Pelodiscus sinensis: one gene and its partner. The protein of the gene in region 2 binds, or shares a complex with, the protein of the main gene of each other region. Links are inferred from orthologs where the notes say so. Each region holds a gene or a part of one and is shown on either strand. Other genes may lie near its edges.

Region 1 (8,218 bases), on a different chromosome or scaffold from region 2:
AAGATCTCTGAGACTGAGCCTTCAGAAAGAGTTGTCTACACTAATGGAAGGAATTCCCCAGACTTGTACAGCATCCCATATGACCATTTTTTTATATCCTTCATTTTTGTTTTTAACACACATTACACAGCCTACATCTGGGTTTTGGAAGAGGTGGCAATGTAATGGTTAGTTTCTAACCACTGATTATGTTAAGCAAATTGATACACAGGCGATAAAATAAATACTTCAGTTCATCAGCTGTCCATATGTCACTAGCATGCTGGTCTTTGATCTACAGTACAGACACTAAATCAATTATGCACTCGAGTCTTCTGGAATGACCACGTGCATTAAGATTAGACTCGCACGATGATAAGATAATAGGTGCCCGATTCTCAGAAGTGCTGAATGCCCATTAAATTTAATGTGTTTGGTCAGCAATTCTGGAAATGTAACCCCTTGGGTGACTGCCCCACCGCTTTCAAAAGAAGCGGGTGCAAGCAAGAAATGACCAATAACATTTACTTAAAGGGGTGGGAGATTAAGTGAAATGGCATCTTTTCCAAGCTGTCTTCCACTAAGAGAAAAAACTAATGTTTATCGGACCAAATGATGAAGATAAAAAAACATAAGCAGCATTACTGTTTTTCTGCATGCAGCACACAGTAAACCTGTGGAACTCCTTGCCAGAGGATGTTGTGAAGATTAGGACTTTAACAGGGTTCAAAAAAGAGCTGGATAAATTCATGGAGGCTTGGTCCATTAATGGTTATTAGCCAGGATGGTTAGGAATGGTGTCCCTAGCCTCTGTTTGTCTGGAAATGGATGACAGGAGAGGGATCACATGATTACCTGTTGTGTTTACTTCCTCTGGGGCACCTGGCATTGGCCAGTGTCAGCAGACAGGTTGCTGGGATGGATGGACCTTTGGTCTGACCCAGTATGGCCATTCTTATGTCCTGTAAAACTGTAGTGTTTTGAATCAACAAACCTATGGTATTTTAGCATATGGTGATGTCTGTTTGCATTTCCATTATAAAAATCAGCTATATTGGGTTTAAAACTTAAACACATAGCTTGTTCATTCGAGAAATTTATTCCAGAATAAGGCAGGGATATAAATATAAAATGAAACAGCTAATTTGAAATAGATTTATATTTGGACATGGTATTCCAGAATCTGATGTTCTGAAATCTTTGCAGTAATTTTACTTTTTTTTTTTTTTTTTGGCTCGGCACAACTTTAAAATAGGAAGGCCTGAAAACCCCACAATTATTTTGGTTTCTCTAGAGCTGCTGAGGAGGGAGGAGGGAGCTTTTATAATGCTGGGAGAAAAGTAAAAAGGGTTGTTTTTAAAACTGTATCATCAACAAGGCTCATGGCATATCATTTTTAGGTAATAGTTCTTATCCTTATTCGTATTTATATAAATTATAAAGGGGTGAGAGGAAATGAAGGAGGAAGGCATGGCGTAGGCTAAGGGGCTTCAGACATTTATTCTTAAAGACTTTTGAGGTAGAAGAATTGTTCTCCGGAAATCACAGGATATTGTACAGGTGCCAAGTAGACTTCAACAATACAAGTCAGAACTATTTTAATAATATCTGCTCTCTCTCACTCCCCCTCCCCGTGTCCACGCCCTACCCTTCCGGAATGCGTTAAATTTGCAGAGTATTAGCACGCTGCAGTATGCTGTATTTCAGAGCCACAGGATCAACCTAAATATCAGTCCTTGGAAGCAAAATCATTGTTGCCCCTTGCTGGAAGGTGAGGAGTGGTTCTCCATTTAGACTCAATAACAAGAGTCAGATAGAAGGGTGTAGGAAGGGCCCAGCTTGGCATGGTGCAAGGTGCCTTCAATTTCCACTGAAAACAGCAGCATTTGAGGGTCCCTCGCACCTTTCAGGATTAGAACTGAATTGCGCAGACTAAGTGGCATCCTGCGTCCAGCGGGCCTGTGCATTTTTGTGCTCCAAAAAATGAAACTAACCTCCCCTGTAGACAAGGGCCGGGAGGCGTTTTCATTTCAAACGCTACAACCTGAGCTCTTGAAAGTCTTAAAGAGAAGTAACATCCCAGTACCCAATGGTGTTATAGGCGTCAGCCCTACACAGGGCAGATTAGATAGGCATAACAATCTAGGGAGTTGCCCATTTATTCTGCTTATTCGGAAGCTGAAAATGAACCTCTTTGGAGCATAATCCCATACCTCATGTACCCCTTATGGCTCCAATAAAGCCAACAGGAGTTTGGAGGCAAAAGCAGGCAGGAGTATATCTTGACCAGGCTCGTTAACCCACAGAAGCACATTACTAATGGAATTACCACACTCATCAGGAACGACCCTTACATTTTCAAGGGTGGCGTGCAATGTACCTACATAGAAATGGAGTGGCAACCCAGGAAGGGGGTAATTCCCCCATGTATGGCTAAGCGAGGCTGTGTCTGAACCCCATGGCAGCAAGGGCATTCAGAGGAAACCGCTCCCCCCCATGGCGCACTCTTTGGAAAGCTGAGCTAAAGAAAAGGCTCCATCCAGGTCTTGCTTGTTAGTCTTTAAAGTGCTACATAGTCCTGGGTTTTGTTTCAGCTACACCAGACTAACATGGCTCCATTTCTATCATGATTTCAACTGGCCTTTTGCAGCCCCCAGCGGGTATCCGCTATAATATCCGAGCGACACCCCTCCTGAGGCCGGCTGGAAGGGTTCCCAGGGGTCTTGCCTGCCCATGGACTAGCATGGGGCTGTCCTGTCGCACTGTTTAGACGCTCTGGGCTCCTGTTTTACAGGTGAATCCAGACTTTGCTTTGAAGACTCCCCTCCCCCATCATCCAACTGGGGTTTCTCTCCCTCCACCTTTCTTACCTTTGCTGCTGGCAGCACCCTGCCCTTTGCAGACCCGGGCTGGGGATTGCAGCAGGGCAGGGCTGGGGCACTAGCCGGGGCTCAGCTGAAGACAGGGGCAAGCTCCATGAGTAGTAAGCACCCCCAGTCCCTTTCCTGCCCCCCAACTCGCCCCAGATCCGACCCGGCACGTTACCGTGTGCAGGCTGCCGCCACCGCTGCTGTTGCTCGGATCTCGTCTGGCTGGCCGGCGAGCCGGTCCTAGGGGGAGGAGTAAAATAGGGTTTGTCACATGCTGCCGATTAGCCACGCAGCAGCTGCCGCGGAGTCCGGCCCCTGGTCAGTTTCGGTCCGGCGGCGGGGGGACCCTGGGCGGCGGCGGCGGGGGGCAAGAGGCAGGCACCAGGGGACCCAATGCAACGCTGGGGCCAGGCCGGGGGAGGACGAGGTGGTCTCGGCACACTTGGAAAGGCGCAGCAAACTCCAAGCAAGGCGGCAAGGTTTCGTGAGCACGGAAGAGAGCCGGGATTTCAGCCCTGGGGCCTGGAAGCAGGTGATCGTGTACCAGAGAAATAACAAAAATAAAAAAAAAAAACTATGAAAAAAATCCAACCCCCCAACCACATCCCCCTGGTCATCTCCAGCAAATCAGCACTGTGCAGGGGGTCAGACTAGATCAGTGTTTCCCAAATGGTTTTCCGGGGAACCCTGGGGTTCCGTGAGAAAGTTCCATTACAATAACATGTTGTTATTAAAATAATAATAAATATTAAGAATTTTATTGAAACTAGTTTTCATTGGTGTTGATCTCATGACCTTGCTTAGCATTTGTTGTTTATTATCCTTATTTATTTGTGATCGACTTTTTCAGCTCCATATATAAGACTGCTATTAGGGGTTCCACAAAATTCTTTTGAGTTTAAAAAGGTTCTGTGGCCAAATAAAATTGGGAAACACTGGACTAGATGATCATAATGGTCCCTTCTGACCTTAAAGTCGATGAGTCTATGAGCGTTGATTAAGGCTTTGAGAGAAAAAATAAAAATAAAAACATAAACAAAAGGTCAAGTGGAAGCCAGTGCATCCCGTGGGGGCTTTGGGCAGGGGCCAAACAAGTTGTTTGTTTAGTTTAGAAAAGAGAAGATTGAGGGGGACATGATAGCAGTTTTCTGGTTTCTAAAAGGGTGTCATAAGGAGGAGGGAGAAAACTTGTTCATCTTGGCCTCTGAGGATAGAACAAGAAGCAATGGGCTTAAACTGCAGCAAGGGAGGTTTAGGTTGGACATTAGGAAAAAGTACCTAACTGTCAGGGTAGTTAAACACTGGAATAAATTGCCAAGGGAGGTTGTGGAGTCCCCATCTGTGGAGATATTTAAGAGTGGGTTAGATAAATGTCTACCAGGGATGGTCTAGACGGTATTTGGTCCTGCCACGAGGGCAGGGGACTGGACTCGATGACCTCTGGAGGTCCCTTCCAGTCCTAGTATTCTATGATTCTATGATTCCTTCTGTTCCCTGATGGTGAGGAAAGGGACCAGCCAGCAATGTCCCCGTATGAATCTGGGGGGAGCTTCAGTCCCCCGTGCATCCTGAAGGGTGGGAGAGGAGGGGGTTGAAAGGTCGGGGCTGTGGCAGTCCCAGATGGGGGTGGGGGGGAGGCACGCTCCCAAATAGCCCTTTTAACTTGCCTGGTTTGATGAGAAGCCATCAAATGATTTTAGGAATCATTAAAAAAGAGATAGAGAATAAAAAAGAAAATATTTTATTGCCTCTGTATAAATCCCTGGAACACCCACATCTTGAATACTGTACAAATGTGGCTGCCTCATCTCAAAAAAGATATCTTGGCATCGGAAAAGGTTCCAAAAAGGGCAACAAAAACACCCCTTGTCCTGGCACAGCCCAACACTGGCCTTGCTTTAAGTCATGACAAGAGGGATCTGCCTGCCGAATTTGGTGGTCCTACCATTTCGGAGGAGTTCTTGCACAAACAGACATAGAAACAGACTTGCAAGTTGCCATAGTTGAGCAAAAACACTTCCAAACCCAAACCAACCAAACAAAACCTGCAGCGTGAAACCACCGAGCTAGAATTCGTATGCAAAATTGACACCGTCAGAATGCGTCTGAATAGGGACTGGGAATAGCTCACTCATTACAATATGTAAATTTTCCCTTTAGCTATTCCCACCCTCTTATCGCCCTGATTGAATTAGCCTCATTAGCACTGATGTAACCCATCCAATTTCTGTCGTTCTGTATATACTCCTGCCATCTGATTCTTTCGCTTCATGCCTCTGATGAAGTGGGTTCTAGCCCGTGAAAGCGTTTGCCCTAAAAAATAGGTTTCTCTTTAAGGTGCCACCAGACTCCTGGTTGTTTCTGCTGAAACAGACCAAAGTGGCTAATTAACCTCTATGAAAGTGGTTATAGGAGGTCACATTTGTTCTGTTGATTTAGAGCAAGTTTTCATTGCCTTCTCGGCACCTTGTTTGTTTCACAGGCATGATTCAAATCATGCCTCCTCTGATCACATTCCCTTTGGTTCTAGAGTGTTACGTAAGCAGAAACAGTGTCAGCCGTTCTGCTCAAATCGGAAAAGAGCCCCAGGCCTATTCATTACCAAGCTGAGACACATCATCTGACATGGTTTTCCTGCCATGATTTTGCAGTTAGAAACAGTGCCCGCTACAGTCGGAAAAGTGGTGCTCGAAGAGGCGTAGGCAGGGGAACTGGGATCCGGAGTGTTACAGCCAGACGCCTGCGAACGCTCCCTGCTGGTTCGAACGCTGAGCGATGTTCGCTACGCCACAGCCAGATGTACCCCGTGGAAAATCTGGGTTGTGGCTTCCACAGCAATGCCCCTGCCCCCCGCCCTCTAGCACAATTAGAGAGAAAAACGAAGCTGCATGAAGGAACAAAGGATGTAATCAACAGAGACAGAGCAGTGCCCTGTTATGTAACTGGAGTCTAGGGCCAGCTCCTGTTCCCACTGAAACTGGTGGGACAAACGGGGGTGACTTTCAGAGACGCAGGCTGGGACACAGAGCTCGGAGTGGCTCTGCAGCCTCTGGCCCACGAAGCGGGGTTGGTTGGAGGCGCAGAAGCCAGCCCCGTAGAGGGAGACGTGCTGGGCATTCACGGCCTAAGGGCCAAACCTGCCCCTCGCTGTGACCCCCATGCCCTGAGTCGCAAAGCCCCACCCCCACCTTTGGCCCTGCCGCCCCTGTTACGCCGGAGGAGCGGGACTGTGGGTGTAAAACTACGTGGGCAGGGACCCCTGACTGCTTGCAAGCCCAATGCTGCCCTTTTAGGGTCGTTTTCTGTCTGCAGTGGGTATAATTCAAGCTGGCAGATGGTGAAAATGGTTGTAATTTTACCTGAAAGGGAATGAACAGGAAGGAGGGGGGCAGGGAGTGTTGTAGTAACGAGATCTTCATTAAGCATGCTGTGTGGCCCCAGCAGTACCACGCAGAGGTGCCAGAGTTTATGCACAGGCAGCCTGTTCCCAACAGCTCCCTGAATTAGGGCTCTTAGGCCAGGTCTACACTGGACCCGGCAGCTCAGCTTAAGGAATGCAACTCCACCTCTGTAGAACGCATACCTGGAGTCGGCTTACTTTAAGCCGAGTTTAGCGGCATCCCCACGACGGGAGGCCAGTGGGAGCAAACGTTCCTGTCAGCTTCCCTTCCTCCTTGCAGACGCAGAAGTACTGGACGATGGTGGAGGCACCCTCTGACTTTGATTTAGCAAGTCTTAACTAGACCTGCTAAATCAAACTCCGGAAGATCAATCTCGGCAGTAGTGATCTTCTGTTGAATGTAGACAAATCTTAGGGCTGGTTTACATAGGGAACTTACATTGGCATAGCTACCCCCCACGAATCCCACCCCTGGGAGAGAGACACAGCTATGCCAATCTCACCCCGGGGGGTAGAATTCTTCCTTCAACCTAACTTCTGCCTTTCGGGGAGGTGGGTTTCCTGCACGCAGAGCATTCGCCATCACAGAGGAACAAAATGTGCAGCTCACCCACATAGGGAGCCCATCGCATGAGCCAGCCCAAACCGCTCCCGGCAAGGGCATGGGAGGAGAGACTAACTGGTGTCCCGACACGTGCGGGCCGTGGCTGATTGATCTGGTCACTCATGACTTTCCATTCGGCTGGCTGCACTTTGAAAGGGCACCAAACAAGGGGCATGTTTTCCTTGGGGGGTTACCAGCAGGAGCAGCTTTCCCCCGACCTACTGGATTGGCGAAGGCAGCGCGTGTCCGGAGCACAGACGAAGGGGGAAACTGGCATACGCAGTGCAGAATCACAGCACACTGGACCCAGAAGGGACCTTGAGGGAGCAAGTCCAGTCCCCTGCCCTCGTGGCAGGACCCAGCACCATCTAAATCATAGGATCCCAGGGCTGGAAGAGACCTCAGGACGGCATCGAGTCCAGCTCCCTGCCCAAGGCAGGACCAACCCCAACTCCATCATCCCAGCCAAGGCTTTGTCAAGCTAAGACTTAAAAACCTCTAGGGATGGAGATTCCACCCCCTCCCTAGGGAACCCAGCCCAGTGCTTCACCCCCTCCTAGTGACAGAGTGGGGGAGGTCTAGGTTGGATAGTAGGAAAAATGAATATCTAACCTAGATCATCCCTGACAGGTGTCTGTCCAACCTGCTCTTAGATCTCTCCAGTGATGGAGATTCCACAACCCCCCTAGGAACTTATTCCAGTGTTTCACCCCCCTGCACAGTGAGGAAGTGTGGCACAGCATGTGGGGAAAGGAAAGGAAACAGCCAGGGGGGATGTCCTCTCTCTCCCGATTCAAATCGCGTCTTGCTTAACGCAGCTGGAGCAACCTTCTCTCCTACACCCACGTCAGTAGAATGAGCCGAGGAAAGTCAATTTCACGCTCGCTGCGGTGCCAGGAAGCCCGTCGGTGGCATGCGAGAGCCAGGAAGCATTTACACCTTGTTCCAGTAGCATAAAGGGTCTGAGAAGCCGCCTGCTTATCAATCTGCTCATGTCATGTGCCAGGCTAGCTACTTCGTGAGCTGTGGCTGGAGGCCAGCCTGGGAGCTGGGCATTTTCCATGCTCTGCCCTTGCTCTGCTCCGTCTCTCTTTGGCCTGTCTGTGTCTGCCTCTTAGCTATAGAATGGGGCGCACACTGGCTCGCCGGCATGTTACAAGCATTGATTCATACATTTGGAGGGGGCTCTGAAGAGGTAGGCTGGGATGCAAAGGGGCAGTAGGGACATAGGCCTTTGACTCTCACTGGCTGGAAGTGGCACTTGAAAAATGCCACCCAGCAAGTGCCAAATACTAAAGATTTATATCCAAGTTGCAGGCTGGCTGGACCCGAAGGGAAGGAGGGGGAGGGCTCTTCTAGGGATGC
Region 2 (8,626 bases):
AAGGCTGAAAGAATTGGGTTTGTTTAGTTTAGAAAAGAGAAGATTGAGGGGGGACATGATAGCCTTTTTCAGGTATCTAAAAGGGTGTCATAAGGAGGAGGGAGAAAACTTGTTCATCTTGGCCTCTGAGGATAGAACAAGAAGCAATGGGCTTAAACTGCAGCAAGGGAGGTTTAGGTTGGACACTAGGAAAAAGTTCCTAACTGTCAGGGTAGTCAAACACTGGAATAAATTGCCCAGGGAGGTTGTAGAATCCCCATCTCTGGAGATATTTAAGAGTAGGTTAGATAAATGTGTATCAGGGATGGTCTAGACAATATTTGGTCCTGCCATGGGGGCAGGGGACTGGACTCGATGACCTCTTGAGGTCCCTTCCAGTCCTAGTATTCTATGATTTCACTGTGTTACAATTCAATCGGTGGAAAAATTCCATACATTCTCCAATTTTGAAGAGAAATAGGCAAACTTGGTAGGATTATACAGTCAGTGTTTCAGGGTTAACTCTTTAAGTAGCTTCACTTTAAGACGCAAAGAAGTTAGTTCTAAAAAGAGAAGTGAAACAACTTGTTAAAACCACAAATTTAAAGAATGTATAGGTTTACAGCTAAATACTAAAAATCACGCCATTAGTCCAAATCCACAGTCAAGTCAATAATGACTGACACTCATTACCATCTGTGGGCTCTTTGGTATTCAGTAATGAGTGGGATGTTCTGTCCTCTGAAAACTAGCTCTGATATTCCCATCAGAAGATGTACCACAACTGCTACCAATAGGCAACATGGATGGCACTCTCATCTAAGAGGCCCAGGAATGAATAGCAATGCTCTCTTTGGATCTAGGTTAGGTATCACTGTAGCTATGTAGAAAACTTCAGTGTCCAAGACTACCAAACACCATTCACGGGCATTAAAAATTTGCACAAATTATAACAACCTAATTCAAGTCAAAATGTTACTCTTACAATATTCTTTTGACTCAGATCTTGTCAGGTGAAAGAGAAGGGGGTCTTAACACACCTCCTCTCACCTGTCAAGACCTTCAAGTTAATTGCCAAATGACATCCTCAAAATAGAAGCCCTGTGTTTCTCTTCTCTGCTTTAGTTGTTAACAGTGTCATGGATTCTTGCAGGGGTAGTACAGAACCTTCAAATCAGGTCTTTATATTAAAATGAAAGGCTCTAAGTTAAAACATTTTTAATATAAAAATTATATTGATTCCTCCTTACCACCAAATTCTATTACTAATTTTAAGGCTCTTCAAACAGATTCCTCTCCCCTCCCCCCTTCAAAAAAGCTTTCAAGTTCACCTGTACAGGAAAGGCTGATGAGACAACTGAACTGACTCACTCTGCCAACAGCTATGAGCCAATGTCCTGCTTACAGAGCCTTCCAGATGGGGGGATGGAGAACATAGACAGTGGTGAATGCATCTGTCTGTTAACCCTTGGTTCATAGATACAGGAAGTGGAAATCACTTCTTTTGTATCATTGCTACTGATTTAGCACTGAGCCATCTGCAATGTTCTAATGGGATTAGTTGGCACGTCCAGAATTTAACAGGGCAGGAAGAGAAAATAAAGGGTTATAGTGATCATACTGCACCCCAGTGTACTATAGCACTAGAAGCGAGAAACTGAAGTTATTCAAGGAAATTTGGAGCAGTAACTGATAGCCTATCCTGCAGGCTTATTAGAGGCGACATTCATAAATGTTTGCAAAGCTTCTGGACTATGGAAAACTGATAAACTGTTAGGATAAAAACAAGGGAACGTGCACATGTAAAGAGAAACATTAGATTTTACATTAGGATAACCTAACAGTTAAAATACCAAGGAAAAGATTGCACTTTCCCAAACGTCTTCTTACAAATTTGTGAGTAAATCCTGAGGGCTTCCCTCATTTTTTACTCAGACACAACTTTCACTACAGTAAAACCTGAACTAAACCACAAAGGTATGTGTATAGTGCTAAGGTTAAAACAGCAGTGCAGCAAATCCTGGCTATTAAATTACTTTAACTTGAGAGCTAAGCAAAGATGCTGTCGGGCTCATGGGAAGAGCGGTGAACCTTTCAAAATAAGCCATGTGTACCTTGTTGCCACACAGTGAAGCTCAATTACAGCCACTAACAGATAATATCAATTCAGAACTCTAAGGCATAGCCACCTGTGACATAGCACATTCTGAGTCACGGAGGAACAGTCTGGGCAGATTTCCATAAAACACATGCTAGTGCACGCGATACTTGTCCCATCTTGATAATGCCCAGAACAAAGTTTTAAAACATGGGGTCAGAGGAAGACACACAATCATCTATACCTTGGCTCTGCACCCAGCATTCTGTGCATCTCTCCCCACTCTTCTTTCCAGGCTCAGAAACCATTTATTCTAACTGCCAACATTTTTACCTGGTTTATTTTAATCTGATGACCCACTTGCACTAGCATGTAAAAATAAGAGTAGGACAAAACCTGATACAGTCTCACATCCTATTTGCTGGAGGACTTTTTCCGCATACATTCCATTCTTTTGAAAACATCTTTTTAAGCCACACCTTGATAAAGCCCTAAGGGACCAAAATGTGCTTAGTTATACACTTTGTTGCTGCGCCGGGAAGCACACAAGCTGACTGCACCTTGTTTTGCTACATACCACTGTTAATAAGTGAGTTACCCCAGTTTACACCAGCATAAACTGGAATCAGATTCTAGCCCACAGAACCTTCAACGGTCTGATAAAATAGGAAGAGTCACAATAATATTTAGAGCTATCCACCCACATTAAAAGTGACTGTTAAAAAGTTAGTATGCATCTATTTGGATTCCTGATGCATTTCATTCAGTACCATATTTCAATAAGTAGTTATATTCCTTTTCTTCACAAATACTGTATATTCAGCTACTGTCACCAAGTCAATGTTGTGTTGCCTTTCATTATCTGAGATTGCTGTGGCATGAATCCCATTATAATAAACAGATAATAAAAACAAATATTACACACTGACATACAATACCACAAGCGCTAATGTCTCTTATTGGGGAAAAAAACCCATGAGATATTTAAAAAGAAACCAACAAAAAAGAGACCCAGTCCCAAACCATAAAACCATCATCTGTCATGTTTGAAAGAATCTTGTTGCTATTAACAATGAATCAGAATAAATCAAAACTAAACTTTCATTAAGCACTGGTACAAACACAGAGACTGCGTATCCATATCAAAAGGTTTCGATTTTATTAAAACAAAGAACATGAAAAAAGTCAACAGATTACACTTACTTTAATGTACATATAGTCTAAATCATCTACCACCACCCAGTACCTCTGGTGGTACACGCTTCCAGCATCTTGCACCTCAGTCATAGTTTCCTTTTCATGTGAAAGGAATTTACTTGGAGTGAAGAGTATTTCCACTTTGTTCACACTTGGTCTGCAGTAACAACTAGGCCAGCCGCGGCCTCTCTCTCTTATCTCTGCAACATAACTACTAAGATCATCTTCTTTTAAAGATATGCATTAATAACCCATGAAAATCTGCAAGGAAAACGTGTGACAAGCCAGGCTGGGGCAATGAATTGCTTCATTGTTTAAGTGATTCACCATATTTTAGCTTATTTCTCCAGGGACACAAAGAGTGAGTGTGTTTTTTTGTTTAAGACACTAAAAAAAAATGGCAGAACCCACTGTCTTGTGATAATCAAATGGAGAAACTAGAAAACATAAGTAATTCCAGTACCAATGAATGATTTATTTGTCTTATCTGTTTTCAATAAGGAGCTCATATGCAAATATCTCAAATCTTACAGAAAATACACGTTACACTTTTCCCTATTTAAAACTACATTACAAACCTGCAGTTTTCATTTAACTACAGGTACACTGAAAACATGAATTGGAAGAACCTTTATGCACCAAGATAACTGAAGTTATAATTTTCCCCTCACCTGTTACACTGAAGACTAAAGCAAGGTATGAGACATATAGTAGCATTGCTTCCATTTTGCATTTAATTTTGTAACCCAGACTATCATCAGACCAGGAGAATAGGTAATTTAGAAGGCTCTCAATTGTATAAATTGTGCTTATGCCCAGGGGTGGCCTGAGGTGGGCTGTGGCAGCTGGCGCCCCAGGCGGAACGCGCGATTGGCACCCCCGCCTGCACAGCCCTCAACGACGTGACGTCATCATTGGGCACCCCGGGCGCCTCGTGACATCATCATTGGGCATCCCAGGGACCCTGTTGAAGGCGGCGCCGTAGGCCACAGCCAAGTTGGCCTATACTCACGGGCCGCCCCGCTTATGCCATACATCTCTCAATAACTAAACCAACTCAATAAGCCAGTTCTCCTGTTAATTATTAGTTCCATCTTAATTAATTATGTGCTAGCCATAGCTGTAGCAGAAGCCACTATTTCATGGAGGTTAAAAGTCAATTGAAGATTACAGACTTGATAAGCAACCGGGAAGAAATAAGGAAGGTATTAAACAGAATTCATTAATAACACTTCTACCAAACAGCATGATGGTAACAAGCCTGAATATACTCCTGCAATTACACTTGGATTAGACCTCTTCTGGTCAATATCTGCACCCTCGTTGTCAAGCCTATATAACGAGTGCCAATGTGAGGCCTGCAACCCAGAAATATATCCAATTCAGCATGTGGCCACATAGATTTTTAAGAAAGAGAGGCAGCCTTAGAAGACTCTGCTCCACCTTGCAAGGAACTATAATGGATTCCACATTAAAAGGGAGAGCAAATGCAAGTGAAGTGCAGTCCTCAACTCTTCCCAAGTTACCAATGAACCCATCACTGAGCAAAGTTTCAGCTTCCCTACTCTTACACCACTACCTTTTATGCTTCTGTCCTTCCAACGCTTGCCACCATTGGCAGGTGGAGATGGCATTAAGCAGTTAGTGATGGTGACTGTTTTCAAAACAATTCTATTGTGCTTCCCTTCCTCCAGACACACCAGCCCCACCTCTCTCCCTCCCCAGCTGCCCGACAGGGAGCGAAGATTGGGAAAGCCCAGCTCTATCCTCTTCCCCCGCCCCCAGCCACACCAGTCCTGGCTAGCCCCAGCTCTCCCCCTGACCCCAGCCATCAGGGAAGGTAGAGGGAAAGTAGAGCCAGCCTTGGCTCTACCTCCTTCTCCCCCAAGCTGTGCCAGCCCCAGCTCTCCCCCACCTCTCCCCAGCCACCGAGGAGGGCTGAGGCCTCACCAGGTCCCGTGCTCTCCCCCTGGTCATCAGGTCGGAGAGGGTCCGGGCCAAGGTCTCACCTGATGTCAGCCGACGGTCAGGGCAGTGTGTGTGTGTATGCTTCCGAGAAAAGGTTTAACGTCCGTGTCTTTACTGCTAGGACCGGGGTCCCGTCGCAGAGGGTGGCCAGCAGGCCAACAGACGCCCCGTTATATAGAAAGAGCTTATTACACCTTAGATCTTAACTGCTAGAACACAGGGGTTCCTTCGCAGCGGGCAGCCTGGGAAAGGCTGGAAAGGTGCCCTAACGGATCTTGTCACCTGGGAGTGACACAGATCCAAATGCCCAAGCTCTCCCTATGTCTGTCCCTTTATGACCGGCTGAAGTTCTTTTAAATTGTGCTTGATTCTGTTACAGCAACTGAAGGAGTCAGGTTAAAGCTTAAACAGTTACAGGTTTATTAAAAGACTTATAAAAGCATATGGTTACAATGGCTATTGCTCTATTTCTTAAATGCTAACAAATACAGATTTTAAAAATGGTTACAAAGAAAATAAAGATAGAAAATAGAAATAATGGTACCAAGTGACAGCTTAATCTTTAAAGAGCTCTAAGTCTATGTATATATATACTTAAACAAAGGACCACATCCAGGTACAATTTTTACCCCTTTCTGTGCCTCTCGACTCCAGCGTGTCAGGCCAGGGCCGGTCTCTCAATTCCTAGGAAAGACGAATACGAGGTGGGCGTCCCCTTGGAACCTCGGGAGATCAAACACCTAACCCGACCAGCAGATAGATGGTAGATTGACACTCAAAGAGAATGCGCTGCTGGACCTATCTTTATACCCCTGGGGGCCCGTATTCTCTTTCTTATCTAAGATGCCGAATTCTACTGGTCCGTTTTGTGGCGCCAGTTCTTACAAGCAAGTTTCAAGTTAATTTACACTTGCAAGAGAGATAACTAAATTGTGAGCACTAGACATTTTTTTTACTGGGCGAGAGATTCCTCCCCCCGCGGATGGATGTGTGTTCGTATCAATATGGGTTAAGTCAAGGGCACTCCTTGGCAGCCTCTTGGTCAGCAATTGGCATATCTCTGTTTATAGCCATTCACGGTCACACAGCCTGGGCCTTCTGCTCTGTGTGCCCTGTATGCTCCAGGCAAGCAAAAATGGATGTTACAAGGGGGTTCCTGTCTGGCTACACCTGACCCTGCACTCTCCCCCCAGCTCTCACCCAAACATCAGGGAAGAGGGAGGCCACGGTGCAGCAATCCTGGCTCCCGAGCACTGGGGAAAGGGTGGGGAAGGAAGGAGTAGGCAGGCGGGATGCAGAGTAATGTGATGATGTCACTGTCGTCCCGCAAGAAAAATAATTTTAGAGTGAGAGAAATTACAGTACACATTTTGCAAATAGGAAAAACAGAAGAAATGAGGTGCCCAGAGTCACACAGCATATTAGCGGAGACCAGAATAGGAGTCTTGACTATTAATCTTCTAATGTAACCACTAAATTCTGCCCCCATTTTCTTATTGATACTTGGCCCTGGTGTTACCATCGTTTCCTCTTCTAATAAACTCAAAGGAGCTGTAGCCCAAGCACAAAGACTTTATTACTATTACACAGAAATGTTCTTAGATTGTCTTTCTTTCTCTAATTAGTTTGGGCCAGGAAGTGAAACCTGCATCATTGGTCAGCGTGAGCTGGGACTGCTCAGTCTCAGATCGCACTGGGTCCCCTGCTGCACCTCTGCCCCCCACCAGAGACAGCGCTGGGGGGAGCCAGCTTTTAAGCCAGCTCCCCCCAGCACTGGCTCCCGCTCCTCCCCCTTGCTCCTCTGATACAGAGGCAGCAAGGATGGGGGAAGCGACTAGTCAAGCAGTGACTTGACTACCCAATAAGCCTACGCTAGGCTTATTGGGTAGTCAACTGCTCAACTAATAGCTTATATCCCTAGGTAATAAGTTGTTCCTGTGCCTCAAGCATGCAGTGCACCAAGATCTCCAACTCAAAGGCTCTGGATGCTTTTCTGTTGGCAAATTACAGAGCCATTCAGTGTCTCACAAAGTGCTGATTCAGTATGTGCCATACAAAGATGGTGCCCACACACAGAGTGAAAGTCAAAGAGTAGTCCGTGTTAAAAGTAGTCAAGCCCATTAATTATGTCATTGACACAACTACTGTCTGGAAAAATTGGACACCACACTGGAAAATGAACAGGTTTTGCTATAAATAGTCAAAGCTCTTTTCTTGGCAGCAGGAGAAAAGTATTTATACCCAAGATACTCACCATTAAGGATTTATCAAGGAAACACCCCAAGAGGCATTTTCATTTGTTTCCCACTTAGATTATTTTGGGGGCTTGGGGACCATAAAGTTATCTCCTAAAATTAAACACAATTCAAATTATGGCTTAACCCTTACAAGCATGCTTAACTTTACACACTGTAATTACTTCCACTGAGGTAAACAGAAATACAGTGAATAAAGTTAAGTGTATGCTTAAGTGTTTGCAGGATAAAGGCCTAGGCAATGCCAAATAATACCCTGAGAATAAGGCATATTTTCAAATAGCTGGAAATCAAACAGCCTTGAGCCCAATGACAGCAATAGTATGTGTTAAAGTCCCAATCCTGGATGGTTAAAGTCAATGGAGCTTTGCTATTAACATCAATGAGCATTCAGTCAAGCCCTAAGAACTCAAACATGTTAGCTTCCATACTGGGTGCAGCTCAAATGTGAAACCAGTCAAGAAGTTGCTCAATCCCACAAACACAGGGTGGTATATTGCTTACTTCCATAAAGCCATGGGGATTGCTCACAGTAAGTAGCAATCACTATCTCATTGTGAGTAGTTTCAGGACTTTTTTTTCAAACATGCAAACACCACCAAATAGTAAAGTAGAGACATCCTGGAGTTCATGGTCTGCCTTTTCCCAAGCATGCACACAAGACAAACCACTAATAAACCAGGAGAGTTCCTGCTGTCATGGTTCACAGTGAAATTGGTTCAAATACTGCTCTTGCCTCCATTCAGTCACCAGAAAGAATCCCAAGACACCAATAAGGAAGGAGGGAACAAAACAGACTACAGAATCCATGATTTCTGTAAGAAACGTACAACTCCCGACTACACCATTGGCATACAGGCCAGAGTACCAGGTTTGCCAGATTTTGCTTCTCAAAGGCTATGTCTACATTACACTGCTCTTCAGGAAAAATCTACGTAAATTGCGAACCACAATTGGAGTAGCTTTTTATGCTTCTTTTTTCGGAAGAGGCTTTTCTGACATTTGGCCCATCTACCCTAGGCCAAATGTTGGGGGGAAAAAAACTTTCGGAATATCCCTTCTTCCTCATAAATGAGGTTTACAGGGATGCCGAAAAAGTGCATCTGCTCTTCCGAAATTTTTTTCAGAA

The links.
Region 1: the proteins of MYO5A (region 2) and MLPH are in contact, whole or in part, in a crystal structure (PDB 4KP3), measured with the Mus musculus proteins. The link is inferred for Pelodiscus sinensis from reciprocal best matches to the Homo sapiens genes MYO5A and MLPH. Residues at the interface, in NP_034994.2 of Mus musculus: Asp1524, Val1527, Arg1528, Leu1531, Thr1532, Ile1535, Asn1536, Lys1539, Ser1570, Gly1571, Leu1588, Thr1589, Asn1590, Phe1591, Asp1592, Leu1593, Ala1594, Glu1595, Tyr1596, Val1599; in NP_443748.2 of Mus musculus: Lys184, Lys186, Arg187, Leu188, Leu189, Ser190, Phe191, Arg192, Asp195, Phe196, Glu197.

Annotation. Positions count from the first base shown.
Region 1 is NC_134717.1:62,044,994-62,053,211, forward strand, and holds the start of MLPH (melanophilin), read right to left. Parts: upstream 3,385-8,218; 5' UTR 3,025-3,384; intron 3,003-3,024; exon of another isoform or gene 2,850-3,002; intron 1-2,849. UniProt on the Homo sapiens protein: Rab effector protein involved in melanosome transport. Serves as link between melanosome-bound RAB27A and the motor protein MYO5A.
Region 2 is NC_134724.1:25,552,896-25,561,521, forward strand, and holds the start of MYO5A (unconventional myosin-Va), read right to left. Parts: upstream 3,484-8,626; 5' UTR 3,365-3,483; coding exon 3,281-3,364; intron 1-3,280. UniProt on the Homo sapiens protein: Processive actin-based motor that can move in large steps approximating the 36-nm pseudo-repeat of the actin filament. Can hydrolyze ATP in the presence of actin, which is essential for its function as a motor protein. Involved in melanosome transport.